Linked DNA regions of Oryctolagus cuniculus. The protein of the gene in region 1 interacts with the protein of each later gene in a pairwise test. Links are inferred from orthologs where the notes say so. Each region holds a gene or a part of one and is shown in the gene's direction. Other genes may lie near its edges.

Region 1 (5,503 bases):
CCTGGAGGAAGCTCCTGGCTCCTGGCTTCAGATCAGCTCCCCTCCGGTCACTGCAGCCATTTGAGAAGCGAACCAGTGGATGGAAGACTTCTCTCTCTGCCTCTCCTTCTCTGTGTAATTCTTTCAAATAAATAAATCTTTTTTAAAAAATGAAATACATCAACAAGTGCTCTGGGTTAAACCAGAGCTGTCGGAGAGCTGAGTCCTTGTGCCACAAATCAGCAGTGCCAGTTCACCCTCAGGCCCACAACTCTCCAGTCCGCTTGCCCCATCGCCAGCAAGACCAGGTGACAGGTTCCTGAACATAGCACATGGCTCCTCATTGCTCAGCCTCGGGGCCCAAGTGCCCTCTCTGCCTGCCCAGCCTCTGCAGGGGCTTCCTCCTGTCTGGAAGTTCTGCTGCTGCCCCTGCTTCTCCCTGGCTGGCAGGTACGACTGGTGTCAGTCACACACATGAGTCCTGCCTGGCTCATATCACGCTTGCAGGCCTCAATCAGGATTCTCTGTGCCAGACCAGCTGCCCTGTCCCACGTCCCCCCAGCTCTGTGTCCACAAATGTCTACTGTGTTGGACAAACCAGGAATAACCAGAATTCTTACAGAAACCTCAGTGACATATGCCTAATTGCATAAGCACAGACAGCAAACTTAGGTTACTTACCGTGCACCGGGTGACTGCTAAAAACCAGGCCCAAGTGCCTCTGGAAATCCACTGTCTCTTCCCAGCCTGGGGGGATGTGTCTATGCACATTTGCTCCTTGTTGGGACCTCATCTCTGATAGCCCGGCTTTTACTAGTTTCTCATCTTTTTCAGTAACGGCAATTTTAGGTTCCCTGTTTTCTCCTGAGCAGCTAGCTGAGGCAGGTGGCAGGAGCCCACCAGATGGGTCCATTTCAATGCAGACCACGTTCAGGAGCCGGGATTAGTGATACTCAATTTTAGAAAACTCCCCCTGGCGGCCATGGGAGGACACCACGGCTAGATCCCGTTCTCTGCCCCACCCCTCCTCTGAGGCCGTGGTGCCTGCACGAGCCCGGCCCTTCAGAACCTGGGTCACAGGCTCGCTTCTCTCCCCAGATTCTGCAACACTCCACCCCAGACCTGCAGGGTCCTGCTACTCCCCCTGCTCTGTGGACCTCGGCGTCCCGGGACTGCTGCCCCAGCTCCTTACTCACCACTTATCAATCACGGTCCCCAACTCTATCGGTGCCCGAAATCCGACGCCCCTAGCCCACGACTGGCCTCGGAGCTTTTCCCTCGGGGAGCCCCGCCTCCGCCCCTCATCCCAGCTGTACTTGTCCGGTCCCTAGGGGGCCCTTCTGCTCCCCCTGAGCCCTGTCAGCCAGCACACTCCCTCCTGCTCCTGTCGGCCGGGAAGACTGGTGCACGACGGTCATCTCCTCGCACCCTGCGCCTGAACCCTGACCTTTGGCCGCACCCCTAAACCCGTCCAGTGGGGCGTGCGTGCGGCACGTCCGCAGCGAGCTGAGTCCCAGGCGCCGCGCCTCCCTCCTCCTGTCTCCTTCCAGGTCGCCTCGCTGCTGGGCGCCTGCACCTGCAGCCCCGGGGCTCGGACCCACGAGTAGCCCCGGTCCTGAGGCGCCGCGCCTCGCCTGCGGCCCATCCTCTCTCGCCTCCTCCCGGCTCGGCGTTCGGCCGCAGCTCTGCGGACCCTCTTTGCCCGGAGAGAGGGGTCATCGGGCGACCTCAGCCACGCCCGTCTCTCCAGCCCACTACACGCCGCTACACGCCGGCACTGCCCCACGCCGCCTCCGGACCCTGCACCAGACCTCGGACGCAGACCCGGCCTGGCCTGGCCCCGCCCGAGTCGCCCGACAGCGGCCCGCCCCCTAGCGCGATTGGCCGCACCCGCCGGGCTCTCCGCGCACTGATTGGTGGAGTCACGGATCGGTCAGGCCGGGCGCCGCGGCGGCGGCGGCGGCGGCGGCTGAGGGGAAGGGAGCCGACCGGAAGGGTCGAAGCGCCCCGCGCCCCTCACACCCACTGCGGCGGCGGCGGCGGGGCGGAGCGGGGCGGGGCGGGGCGGCCAGCCTAGCCGGGAGCGGCCAGCGCGCAGCGCCGCCAGTGCGCCCGCCCGCCCTCTACCCCGGCGCGGCTGCAGGGAGGCGAGGTGAGCCCGAAGGGCTGGCTAGGCCCGGCGTGGGTGCTGGGGTCGGGCGCGGCGGGGAGCGGGGTGGGCGCGGGGCCTCTGGGGCCGGGCCTCCGGGGCTGGCGGGAGCCGCGGGGTTGCTGGCGGGCCGCAGCCCCTGCCCGCCCGTGCCGCAGTCGCCCCCTCCCGCCCGCTGCCAGCGGCGAGGACCGCGGAACCTGGCCCCGCAGACCTGCCCGCGGGGGTCTGTGGCCCCCTCCTCCAGGCGGGCCGCGCAGCTGCCCTCTCGCCCCGGATGCTCGGTGGTCCCCGCGACCTTGGATTAGGCGCTGGCTGCCCCTTCGGGAAAGTGGGGCCATGTCTGATCTTCAAGACTGGGCTGTCTGTGGGAGCACCTGGACGCAAGTCTGTGCACACTGGTGGACTATAGGGCCGGATACTGCCCCTTGCTGGCGTGAGTGTGGTGGGGGCCCCCTCCCCACCCATCCTGTGCCTTGTCATTGCGCGCCCAGTGCTCAGCTACGCGGAGCAGGCCCTGCCCACCACAGCTCTTCCCCAGAGCACTGCTCCCTGGGCCCGCTAATCCTCCCACCTGCCAGGAACTTGCTAACCTCCGTGTCCCCGGGACTTTGCACCTGCTGCCTCTCCTGTTTACGTCGCGTCCAGGACCTTTTTGTTCCTTGCTCTGTCCAGATGTCTCATTTTCAGCGAGGCCTTCCTCGGCTACCCTCTGCAAGGGATCATTCTGTCTTGTTATTTTGTTTCATTTTCTTCCTAGCACTCTGAGTTGAAACTGTTCTATTTATTTGCCTCTCCTTTTCTGTCTTCCCCCACTAGGCTGTAGCTTTCTGTAAACAGGTAGTTGTCTGATTTGTCTGCTTTCTCCTGGTACTTATAGAAAGCATACAGTAAGTATTTGATAGTCTCAGTTCAGCGAATGAATGAATGATGTAAGGAGCGTGCCTACCTGTTGTCTCTGCTTTACCTGTTCATTTAGTGACTTCTGAGTGACTTGTGAAACTCGGAAGCTTGTTCTCATTTTGTAGAACATCTTAACGTCCTTGACCTCTTTATTTGGTAACTATGGTAACGAGCTATGATATAAAATGTTACATCTTTATAATGGTTTAGCTCTAACGACCTCCTAGTAAATCCAGGAGACAGCCACTGAATTCTCCATTATCTAGGTCATGCTTTTTGCTGGGCCCTAGGGACACAAAGGAGAGAGCGACAGGGTCCCTTCCCCCAGAGAGCCTGGGAGCCCCGTGGAAAAGGCATGACGCACAGGGTTGGTTCCAGGACAGTGGATGATGCCTGCGGAAGGGTGGAGCAACAGGTGGTGCTGGTGGGCCTCCACGCTTGCCAGGCCAGGAGAGGTGCAAAGAGTGTGAAAGGGCAGGGCCAAGGAAGGAACCTAACGCTGTGTGGCGTTGGCCAGGTGTGGGAGCGTGTAGTGGTGGGGACCCTGGAGGAGGAGCCCCTCGCCCAGCAATTTTCTAAAAGAAGCTTCAATCCACAGTTGCACCTGCACTCTCCTGATTTCTCAATATTGGCAGTAGCTGTTTGTTGTTGTTGTTGTTGTTGTGAGCCTAGCCAAATACAGACCTCATTCAGCCTGGTTGCGGGATTGTGGTCCTCCAGGACGGACTGTGGGTGGGAGCCCGGCCTGCTCAGGTGCTTACTGAATTGTCCCTGGGGCCCTGGAAGGAGCAGCGAAGACACCTGTTTTCACAGAGGAAGAAAAGCCCAGAGTCCCTGCTCTGCAGCACAATCCCTCACAAGACGATGCTTCCCTGGGGCCCCCAGCCCTGCCTGTGCTCCTCTGGCTTCTAATTCGTTCTGAAACAACAACACTCAATCTGTGTAATGCTTTCCTCCATTTAACCTTTTATTCTCTTCAGAAGTAACCAGTGGGGTTAAAAAAAATCCTATTTTGGCATAGACTTCTGTGGAAAGCTTTCATTTGCCTGAGGATTTAACTTTCAGGATCCTGGGACTTTAAAATAATTTAGTGAAAGGGCATAACTTTGAAATAAGTGTTAAAGAGTAGAATTGAATGTTTCTATTTAAAATAAAATCAGGTTTCTGGCTAAAATATCAGGCAAAGTGATTGTTAGTAACCAGTTATTCCCTGATGTCTCAGGTAACCTAGAAGTCAGGGATTTTTCTTAAGAAGTGCTGATTTGGCTGCAAGGCAACTATTTTTGGTCTAAATATGTACCTGGACTTCACACTTGGCAAGAAAGTTTCCATTTTTATATTTTTATCGTTAATTCTTTTTTTTAAAGATTTATTTTTATTTATTTGAAAGAGTTACAGAGAGAGGTAGAGACAGAGAGAGAGGACTTGGGCCATCTGCCACTGCTTTCCCAGGCCACAGCAGAGAGCTGGATGGGAATTGGAACAGCCGGGTCTCGAACCGACACCCATATGGGATGCTGGCACTGCAGGCCAGGGTGTTAACCTGCTGCACCACAGCGCTGGCTCCCACCTAATAATTAATTCTTAATCATTTGTACTTGATTGTATGAACAAGGTTTCAGCATTAGTCTTTTAACTGTTTATGATAGTGACTCTGAAAAGACACAAAAAGAACGGTATCCAGCTTCAACAGTTAGAAACCCTGGCTGATTTTGCCTCATTGGTAGCCTCTTATCTGTACACAGTTACCTCCCGTATTTTTAAACAAATCCTAAGTGTTATTTCACCCATGAGTTTTTCATTATATACTTGTATATCACTAAGAGGTAGGGACCCGAGGCTGGTGTGGAGGGTAAAGCTGCTGCCTGTGACGCCGGCATCCCGTATGGGCACTGATTCGAGTTCCTGGCTGCTCCACTTCTGATCCAGCTCCCTGCTCATGGTCTGGGAAAAGCAGCAGAAGATGGCCCAAGTGCATGGGCCTCTGCCACCCATGTGGGAGATGTGGATGAAACTCCTGGCTTCCACCTCGCCTAGCCTGGGCAGTTGTGGCTATTTGGGGATGAACCAGCAAGTCAGACTCAGGGTGCACTCCTGTGCCCTGGCCTCCTGAGATAAGCTGGGCTCTTCCCTCTGGAGGTGGCAAGAATCGTGTCTATCCCCATTTCTCAAATGGCTGCAGGCATGTGCTCTGGCTCACTCAGATCAGTAGCAGACCCACAGGGGATCTGACTCTTGCATCCTGATTTTAACCATTGCCCCATACATTTTTTTTTCCCCACATAGTTTTATCTTTGAATAAACATTTACTGGGCATGCCCTTTAATAGCAGGATATTGAGAAATAGGTCAGACGATTTTCTCTCATAAGGAGCTCACAGGATGGAAGCAAGAGTTTCACTGGTGGTACAATAGAAAACAAGTTCAGGACAAGGCAGGGAAGAGGGCACATCCTGCATACCGTGAAGGGAAA
Region 2 (4,891 bases), on another chromosome or scaffold:
ACAGGCAGGGGCTGCCTGGGGATCTGCCTCCTGGGCAACAGCGGTGTGAGAGTTTAGCCTCAGAGAGGCGAACGTTACAAAGTGAGCTCGTCCGTAATGCCTGTGGCCACCCTCATGCCCAGTCTGGTGTCCTCTCCGGTTGACCCCGTACCAGTCTGGTGTGAATTTTCCTGAACTTAATATGCCTTTGGACATAGCCCGGGAACACATCGTGTTATTTATGTCCATTAGCTGTCTTAGAGCCTGGGGATTGTTCTCTCCTTCCTCTCAGAAGCAGCTCACCCACCTGCCTGCCCTCTCTTAGCACCACCCAAGAGTTGGCTTATTTTTTTGAGAGAACCCCAAGAGCTCTCCAAATCCAATTACTGCTCCATGCATCGCCGTGCCGGGCCCTCCACCCCCCCTACTTTTTGTCAACATTCAGCAGTGTTAAGTATTTTAATCTTGGTCAGGCTTACGAGTACAGCATTATATTCTATTGTTTAAATTTGCATTCCTTGGCAATTAGTGAGGTTGAGCACCTTTCGATCTGTGAGTTCCTGTGCCGCCTCTTTGGGAAGCCGCCCACCTGTGCACGTTGCCCGTTTGTCTGCCAGGCTGTTGGTCCTACTCCCATGGATTCCTTGTGTCTCTCCAGATCCTCGCTGCCTGCTGACTAACGGCAAGCTGCCACTTTGGGCAAAGCGGCTGGTGAGTCTCCTGGGGAGTGGAACGCCTGGGGCGGGCAGAGGAGGGGCCCTGCCCGCACCTTGCTGTCCTCCGGGTCGTCATTCCCTCTCTCCGTCTCTCTGCGGCCGGAGCATGCCATCAGCCCCGCAGCGCCGGCCTGGACAGCTCTGCGCTCATGCGATTCCCACGCACGGTGCCGGGTGCTGTTCTGGTTTTCGGAGGTAGAGCAGTGAGCAGGGCAGGCAGCCCCTCCCTTCACGGCTTACTTGTGATGTCGGAGAGGGACAGTGTCGTGGGAAATATAAGTGCTGCTCAGCATGCTGGGAGCTCATCAACGCTGTGGAAGAAAAAGACTCCGAGAAGCAGAGTGGAGGAGGGCAGTTTTAGGGGAAGAAGAAAGGGTCTTGAGGGAGGAGGACATCTGAGCAGAGCTGGAGCAAGCGAGGCGTGCAGCTCAGGGCACTGCCAAGGCCAGGAGGCAGGACTGTACTGAGAACGTTCCGGGAGGAGCAGGGAGGCTGGGGGTGCCCCCGGGATGGAGTGGGGAGAAGAGCTCCATGAGCTCCCAGGACACGCCCTGTTGTCCTGCCCTACTCCTCCCTGTGCCCCTGGATGAGCTGGGGCCAAGGGAGGCTTGGATCCAACTCAGGGCTGACAGGTGCCGAGGCCGCAGGTGGCAAACACTGAGGGCTGGGGTGGGGAGTGGGGGTGGGAGGCTGCTGCTGTCATCCAGGCGAAGAGGCTGGAGCAGCAAGAAAGGGTGGGATTCTAGGTGGACTTCAGAGGGGAACAGCTGGTTGTGAGGGATAGAGAAGGACCAAGGTGGCCTTAAGATTGAATCAACAATTGTTGGCCCTGGAGAGGAGCCAGCTGGGAGCTGATGGGTTAGAAGCTGGCGGCACACTCTAGGTTTGGAGTTTGTTTCAGGAACGATGTCATATTTCAGGTCCTGGCCTCGGTGCCAGCTCCTCAGGGAAGTCTCCCTCTGCGGGCCAGGTCAGGGCGCCTGGTTCCGCCCACTCAGGCCCTGACATTTCCCTGCCCAGCCCGGGTAACAGCGGGAATGATGTTCGGCAGCTCCGTGGTGCTGAGCCTCTCACTAGGTCAGCCCATTTACACCTCGCCGAGTAGGGCTCTTCTCTCTTTTTAATGATTTATTTGTCTATTTGAAAGAGTTATATAGAGAGAAGAGAGGCAGAGATCTTCCATCTGCCGGTTCACTCCCAAGATGGCTGCAACAGCCAGGACTGGGCAAGGCCAAACCCAGGACTCGGGAGCTTCTTCCGGGTCTCCCAATGGGTGCAGGGGCCCAAGCGCTTGGGTCATCTTCCACTGCTTTTCCCAAGCCATTATCAGGGAGCTGGATTGGAAGAGTAGCAGCCAGGACTCGAACTGGTGCCCATATGGGATACCAGCATTGCAGATGGTGGCTTAACCCGCTATCCACAGCACCGGCCCTTGTAGGGGCTCTTCTTAGCCCCACATCAACTGGGGAAGCTGAGGCCCAGAGTCTTATACCTAGGACTCAGGTGTGAGATTGACCCTGGGTGGGGTGGGCTGGCTCAGAGCCTGTGTCCTCTGCAGTCTGTCCATCCAGAGTGTTGGGAGGAGTAGTGGATTCACAGGACCAGAGCGAGCACACCCATGTTCTGGAAGTGTTTGTCTGGCGGGGCTAACAGGATTTTCAGCTGAAATACGGTGTACAGAACAAGCGAGGAATGAGGGGGCTCAGCAACTGGAAAGAATGGCTGAGGTAGGGGAGCCTTTAGGAAGAGCAGGCCCGGGACAAAAATCAGGAGTTTTCAACACGTTAGCTAATTGAAACGTAGCCGAACGTGCGTGCAGGGACGCAGAGCAGTGCGTGTGCAGTTCAGCCTGAAGTTGTCTGCAAATGGCTGCGGCCTGCGCAGTGTCCGTGGTCCTCACTGGAGCTGGTGAGCAGGGCTGCTGCCTGACCTTCCCCTTTCCCTCAAGCTAGGAGATGACGATGTGGCGGACGGCTCGGCCTTCCACCCCAAGCGCAGCTACCAGCCCCACGGCCGCTGGGCGGAACGGGCTGGCCAGGAGCCCCTCAAGACGATCCTGGATGTGCGGGAGCTGGATTGCTACTTTACCCCCATGAAGGCCGAGAGCCTGGACGACTCCATTCTGGACACGGTGGAGCCACAGAACCTGGCAGGTCTGCTGAGCGAGGTACGGAGCCCGCCCACCCCAGCCCTGCCTGCAGCCTCTGCGCTACGGCTGCCCACCCAGGACGTGGGGCCGGGGGGTCTCTTACTTTGACTCCAGAGGTGTGGAGAGGACAGGACGGGGAGCCCCAGGTCTGTTGCACAGTGAGACCTCCCAGGATAGACCAGGAGCCTTCAGGAAGTAGGTGCTTTGGGTCTAAGAGCATGGCCCTAGAGCAGCCCAGCCCCTCTGTATCTGAGTGAGGGGCATTTGAGTCGATGGAGCCCTGAGCCCTCCCTTTCCTGGCTGTGTGACCTGGAGTAAGAGGCTTTGCCTCTCTGGGCTTTAGGTTCTCCTGTGCCTCAGAGGGCTTCTGCAGGAAGCCAGCACCAGGAGCAGGGCCGGGCCCCAGCAGCTGTAGCTCTGTTGTTTTCCAAGCAGAACTTTTTAGCGCGCTGTGCGGTTTTCTTCTTCATTATGGTGCAAGACAAGGAAACTTCCAAAAGTTTGTCAACAAATGGAATTAAATAGTAAGTTGATTAGGGTGCAAAAAAAAAAAAAAAAAAGGAAGTCCACGCGTAGCTTTTTTCATAATATGCATTTCTGTGCCCTTTCCGAAGCCCCCTTGTCCACATGCAGTAACGCACCGACGAGGCACAGAGCTCGGTGGACTCCCTGGGTGATTCCCATGTATCGACTACCGCGGTCAAAACCGAGTATTTTCTGCCTCCTAGGAGACCCCTGGTGCCCCTCCCCTAGCTCAAGGTAGCCAGTATTCCAGCCTCTCACCTTGGTTTGGCCTGCTCGTTCTTGAACTTGATCTAAGTGGATTCCTAGAGGGTAGAGCCATAGGGCCGACAGTGCAGGGGAAGCACAGGACCAGGTCAGGGAGCAGGGCTCTTGGCACAGGTCCTGGCTCTGTCCGAGGCTGAGGCCCCGGGCAGCTTCCTCCTAGGCCTTAGCTGGCCTAATGCTGGGTGGCCTGCAGAGGCCCGGCTGCACAGCGGCCTCAGGAGGCTGCGCCCCCTCCCCCCACAGTCAGAGAGCCCCCGCGAGGACGGCTGCGGGCAGCGCCCCTTCCTGCCACCACAGAGGGAGCCAGCGGAGGCCAGCGAGCTCTTCATCTACTCCCTGGAGGCAGAGGTGCCAGTCCCGGGGACAGACAGGTGAGTGGCCTCCACACTGCAGGGAGCTGTAGTTGGAGAGAGGAGCCCCCTGCTGAGGGGCGCACAGAGGCCTCTCCCTGGGGCCATGGCATGGAGACCGCCGAGGGAGAGGGCTGAGGCCTGGATGGGCAGGAAGGGGTCACAACTGCAGCCTTGGCTTTGCTGGCTCCAGGTGGGGTGCAGCACGGGAAGGGAGCACAGGGGGAGACGGGAGAAGCCAAGAGAGGGCTCGTGGTCGAGCAGGGTGCTGGTGCCCAGGCTCTGGGTGGGACCAGGTGTTTGCTCGCCAGTGTAAGTCATTCCTCACCCCACTCACGCGGCCTTGCAGCGAGTCCTTCGAGAAGGAGGCCGAGGCAGGGCCTGGAGACCAGCTCGCTGACTCCTACCTCAGGGTCTCTTCCATCAGCTTGAAGGATCAGAGCCCACCCGAGGGTGAGTGTGGAGCAGGCAAGGACCTTCTGACAGTCTGTTCCGCCAGCAGGCTCCTTCCTGGGTACTGATGGTGACCTTGACCCACCTGCCCTAAGAAGACAGACATGGTTCCTGCCATTGCCTGAGGGTTCTGGAGCCCTGCTCCCGCTGAGAACCCAGCTCTGCCCCCTCCTCGCCACGCAACTTCCCTGGCTCAGAAAAATAGGGGTGGCTGCTGTCACTGTCCCCATTCTCCAGATGGGGAAACCGATGCCCACATGCCCTGGCTCACCCGGTGTGGGCACTGGGGGCCTCTGACCCTGTGCTCTGCTTCTGCAGATTCGGGGGAGTCAGACAGTGATGTGGAGTGCAGCCAGGCCTCCCCTCCTCGGCCCGAGCCAGGGCCTCGCTGTGCCGGAACGACGCCCCACTCACGAGGTGAGCAGGGGCCATACAGGGAAGCCCAGGGCCTGGGC
Region 3 (4,891 bases), on another chromosome or scaffold:
TTGACTTGCCTCCCAGCCTTCTTCAATGTGTGTTTTTCTTTCTCTATGGTCTTTTTTTGTTGGTCTTGCCACTAGTTTTACATTGTGCATTCACACATGTGGGCATGAATAATGGATCCATGCAACTTGGCCACAGGTCTCATCACAGAGGCCAGGTCCTTGTGTACTCTGTTTATATGCTGGGCTCTCTACTGCTCAGCATCACGGATTCCAGGCACAGGCAGGAGGCAGGCCCGGGCTGAATCAAGTTTCCTGGGTTTTCTGCTGACACTAACAGTGTTTTCAGAATGAAGTTAAATAACTATAGGAAAGCAAGAAAAGCTGATGCCACACACTGTGCCATCCAGTTAATTGGCAAAGGCCAACAGAAAAGGCTGAGACCTAAACAAACAGAAACCCCAAGGGAATCTGATAGTTGCTGGCGTTGCAACTTCCTCTAACAGTGACCATCTAAAGGCCTAAGTCAGAGGTTAAGGAGAGATTGCCAATAGTGAACTCAAAGATTTTTTTATTTGAAATAAGATGAAAAAAGTTAAAAAAGGAAATAAGAGAGCAGATGGGCACTATTACTAAATATGCTATTATGTCAATGCTGATCAGGAAAAAACATATTGATAAAAATCTTTATGTTAAGTGTAGACTCATTCAGTGTGCAAACATGTATTTGGCAATCATTGTCTAATATTGAAAAATCTACCTGGAAAAAAATTTATCTTAAAACTCTACCTGTAAGTCATGATACTTAGGTACATTTTTATATATACACATGATACCAATATTGCCTCATTTATGTATAAAAAATTCTCAGGTTGCTAAGATTGCTAAGTTGCTAGGATTAGTCTCTTGCTGTAGATCCCATCACCTCTGTTAGTTTGGATCCCCTGAGAAGCAGATGCCAAGATAGAACTAGGTGTGTAAGAGATGTATTGGGTGAAATGCCTCAGAAGAATAGAGGAGGAGGCCCACAGATGTGGAGGCTGAAGAGCCTTTAGACTGGGGTGCAGATCTGACCCCTGTGAAAAGAGAGGGGAGGGAAGGAGCGGGGGTAGGGAAAACCTCAGCTGGCAACCTAGCTCTGAGAAAGTCCCAGCTAGGTCAATAGGGAGCCCCAGAGCAAAGAGTGCCCATCAGAGAGGTCCCACATCAAGCAGGAGAGGGCCAGCTCTAGTGTTGGCACCCCTCCCCCACATCACCCTGGCCCTTGTGCTCAGTCAGTGAGTAAGAACAACCCGGCACTGTGTGTGAATCCTGTGTGTGTCCGTCTGGAAGGTAAGGCAGCTGGAGGCTGCCAACTAACAATGCTCTTCATTGCAGGGGCTCTTGACAGGAGGCCTGAGCAGTACCCTTCGTGGCTGCCACACCATCTCTCCACGTGTGGTGTTAGGGATTCAGGTTATCATAAAGCCATGAACCAGTGGCTGTTTGAAAACACTGAAATGAGGCAAGAAGTTTAGTGCTCCAGCTGTTAGAGTCTGGAGACCAGCAGGCCTGGCTTGGAACCCTGCCTGATACCACACTTAATAGCTGGGACGTTAGGCAGTATCTTCTTTGGGCTTCAATTTCCTCATCCTTGAAATAGGAATGACAAGAATGCCTATTTCATAGAGCTGCTGTGAAGATTAGATATGATTATGTGGCCCACAGCAAGCTCAGTCAGTGTAGCCATTATAAATTTGGGTTCTGTTTTCAAACAGAAGGTGAACCTATACTTTAATACATCCTGAGGACCCTCGGGATGCCTGGGCTTAAATGTGTTGACTTGTCATAGTGCTAAAGCAGTATGCATTCAGTAGAAGCTGGACTTTGAGTATTGAATTTGGATCTTGTCCTGGGCTAGTGCGCTGTGATTAGATCTTTGCTTGTTATGCTGGGCAGTGGCAGCGAGCACAGCTCCCAGTCAGCCTCGTGGTTGCTAATCTAAGATGTTTGCTAGATTGGGTATATTAAATGCATTTCCAAGTTCCCATTAGAAGTTGTGTAGCATCTGTATGTAGTTTTGTGTGTGTGTGTGTGTGTATATGCACACACACACACATATATATCTTTTAAGATATTAAGGACTTTTCTCCTTTCAGAATGATAAAAGCATGGTAGGACATTATCTGTTATCAGCACCCCAAGTGAAAATTGTATTATTTTAAAACTACTTTTAACAAGGTTATTCTAAGCAGAGAAAGATTAATATACCCTTTAATATCAGTTTGAAGAGTCTTTTCAAAAGAGCTAATAGATCCTATCATGGAAATAGATGAAAGGAAATGCGAAAAAAGCAGAGGGAGTGGGGGCTGCACTAGGCGCCAAACCACCTGGATCATTTTCTGTGGAAGAGAGGCAGCTTTATACTAAATCACCACCAATGTTTTTAGTTTAAAATTTCATCTCCCCATTTTTGGTCTCTTAGCTATAATTATTTACAACCTTATGCTTTCCTGGATTTAATAAGGAGTATTCTTAGTCAAAAAGCTAATCACAAGGTAGGAGACAGCTGAACAGGGATTACAGTGCCTGTGTAGATCTTTGACACCTAGCCTTGCTCCGATCAGTGCGTCACCTGGTGGCCAGCAATTCCAGGGAGGCCCATTGTGAAGGTCTATAGAAAAGAGAGATTCATAGATCCGACTTTGAATCCCCGTTCTCTCCATTAGGGTCTCTGAACATACTAGGCCGATGGCCAAGGGTTACAAGGAGGACGCTGAAGTGGAAGCAGGGCTTGATTTCTGATCTCTATGACTTGCTGTCCCTCAAGCTCATTTCTCTCCGATCTGAGACCTATGCTAATGTCATCCATTGTCCTAAAGCCTTAACTGAGGTGATACAAAGCTCATCATGTCTTCTCGCTGTTGGGCTGTATGGAAAGACATGTCCAGCTAACTTCAGGTTCACAGGGCGATGTCTCCTTGCTGGCCACGAGAAAGATTTGGCCCCCTGAAATCTCAGGCATATTTAAAATTGTCTTTCATTTCTCTCTTCTAGTTTCCATTTAGCAACCTTGAATTTGCCCTACAAAAGCTGAAAGAACTAGAACCGAGATCCAAAGAGATCAAGCAGATATTTGCAGCTGCTGACTCTGAACACACGAAGATACTGGATTTTAGTACATTTAGGTAAGCCATAGTCTGCTAGCAATATTCTGTCTTCCCATCAAGATTGTCTAATGAGCACAAGGAAGTTTCTTTTCTAGTGCTTCCTAATTAATGAACTACATGCTTTCTATTAGCAATTGGCATTTCTTTGCATTCATATTACTTTGTGGTCAAATTTTGGCCATTAATATCCTAATAAGTTTTATGCATTCACATGTAAGAATGTTTATATGTGGGAACAGGGAGACAGAAATGTAGAAAGTCAGTTAGTGACTTTGTTTTGTGAATCGTGGTGTTGAAGGATCGGGGAATGCCAGCAATGGTACATCTAAGTGAGAAAGAAGAAAATGCAACTTAGAGCAACCCTCTGAAAACTTGAGAGACATCTCTCTAGGAATGCTGTCAAGTTGGAAAAAAATAGTAGAAACTTTACTGACTCAGAGCAAAGGGCATATGTGTGCATCTGTGCGCATGTACAAAGGGAGTTCAGAAAGTTCATGGGAAATGGAATTAAAAGATGTTTCATTTGGTACAAAAATTTTTTAAGTACATGAATAATTTTTTCATAATATGCCCCTACATATTTATGGACACGTGTGTATTCTCAGCAAGAAAAAATACAGGAATCCAAGGGAAAATATATCACAGTAGTTAGAAATGCTATAAGAAATCATCAACAGTAAGGATTTTCTCTAAGGTAAAGCTGAATTCTGGGACTATCCAGTGGCTGACCTGGGCAAATTTCCAAAAAGTGGAAACACAGGGAAATTCAAATTCAGGATCTAGTACAATTGTGAGACTTCTTAGCCTAAAAACGTAGTGAATGGGGCGTTCAGGAGAATGTAAATTAAATCATGGATGGGGAGGACAAAGGGGACTTTCTCTTTAGACTGAGAATTCTGGCTGCTGAAAACAATAGTGGCTAGAAGCTGTATAGCAAACGGGTTGATGCAGTCAGGATGTGGGCTGAGAAATGAGGAAGGGAGCCCAGGCAAGGGCTGCAGGGAGCTCTTTTTTGCTTGGTGTCTACAGTTTTGTTGCATCACTACCTGATGGCTTAGGGCCCACCATCAAGCCAGGAATGTCCTCAGAGCTTGTTTGTTGTTAACAACGCCCTTTTGTGTCTCTAAAATATTCTTTTCAGAAAAGCAGGCAGAGGACATATTTTTATTGTTTAGAATCCCCAACCTTCTGGGATCAGTAAGGATTTATAGTTCTTGGTTATTGTTCATAGTCATATTCACATATTCATGGTGTTTTAGAAAATAAATGGAGACAGAGTAAAGAGCAAAGAAATATTAGATGTGGGCCAATGGAAAACAGTGGAGGGAAAAACAAGAAATTTCCATCAGAAGTGTGGGAGTGGTTTTGTTTTGTTATCTTCTGTCCTCTTATAAAAGCATCTGTTCTCCCAACACTCTTGCAAAGTCTACTGGAAATACCTCAGTGAGTTTATGGGACTTTTTGGGAAGCACTTAGGCCAGGTGGGAGATCTAAGACCCTTCTTGTATGGTTGGGATAAAGGGCAACCACACTAGAGCAAAATTCCCTATTCCAGGAATTCCTTAGGATGAAAATCAGGCTGGCGCTGTGGCGTAGTAGGCTAAGCCTCTGCATGTGGCGCCGGCATCCCATATGGGTGCTGGTTTGTATCCCGGCTGCTCCTCTTCTGATCCAGTTCTCTGTCTATGGTGTGGGAAAGCAGTAGAAGATGACCCAAGTCCTTGGGCCCCTGTACCCATGTGGGGGACCTGGAAGAAGCTCCTGGCTTTGGATCGGCCCAGCTCTGGCCATTGCAGCCATTTGGG

The links.
Region 2: the proteins of MAPK9 (region 1) and WDR62 interact in binary tests that used the Homo sapiens proteins (3 or more experiments, as listed by UniProt). The two-hybrid records come from large-scale screens. The link is inferred for Oryctolagus cuniculus from reciprocal best matches to the Homo sapiens genes MAPK9 and WDR62.
Region 3: the proteins of MAPK9 (region 1) and EFHC2 interact in binary tests that used the Homo sapiens proteins (3 or more experiments, as listed by UniProt). The two-hybrid records come from large-scale screens. The link is inferred for Oryctolagus cuniculus from reciprocal best matches to the Homo sapiens genes MAPK9 and EFHC2.

Annotation. Positions count from the first base shown.
Region 1 is NC_091437.1:67,212,931-67,218,433, forward strand, and holds the start of MAPK9 (mitogen-activated protein kinase 9), read left to right. Parts: upstream 1-1,937; 5' UTR 1,938-2,131; intron 2,132-5,503. UniProt on the Homo sapiens protein: Serine/threonine-protein kinase involved in various processes such as cell proliferation, differentiation, migration, transformation and programmed cell death.
Region 2 is NC_091449.1:19,667,939-19,672,829, forward strand, and holds part of WDR62 (WD repeat-containing protein 62), read left to right. Parts: intron 1-637; coding exon 638-690; intron 691-2,643; coding exon 2,644-2,862; intron 2,863-3,876; coding exon 3,877-4,004; intron 4,005-4,332; coding exon 4,333-4,436; intron 4,437-4,754; coding exon 4,755-4,853; intron 4,854-4,891. UniProt on the Homo sapiens protein: Required for cerebral cortical development. Plays a role in neuronal proliferation and migration.
Region 3 is NC_091453.1:30,094,525-30,099,415, reverse strand, and holds part of EFHC2 (EF-hand domain-containing family member C2), read left to right. Parts: intron 1-2,973; coding exon 2,974-3,104; intron 3,105-4,891. UniProt on the Homo sapiens protein: Microtubule inner protein (MIP) part of the dynein-decorated doublet microtubules (DMTs) in cilia axoneme, which is required for motile cilia beating.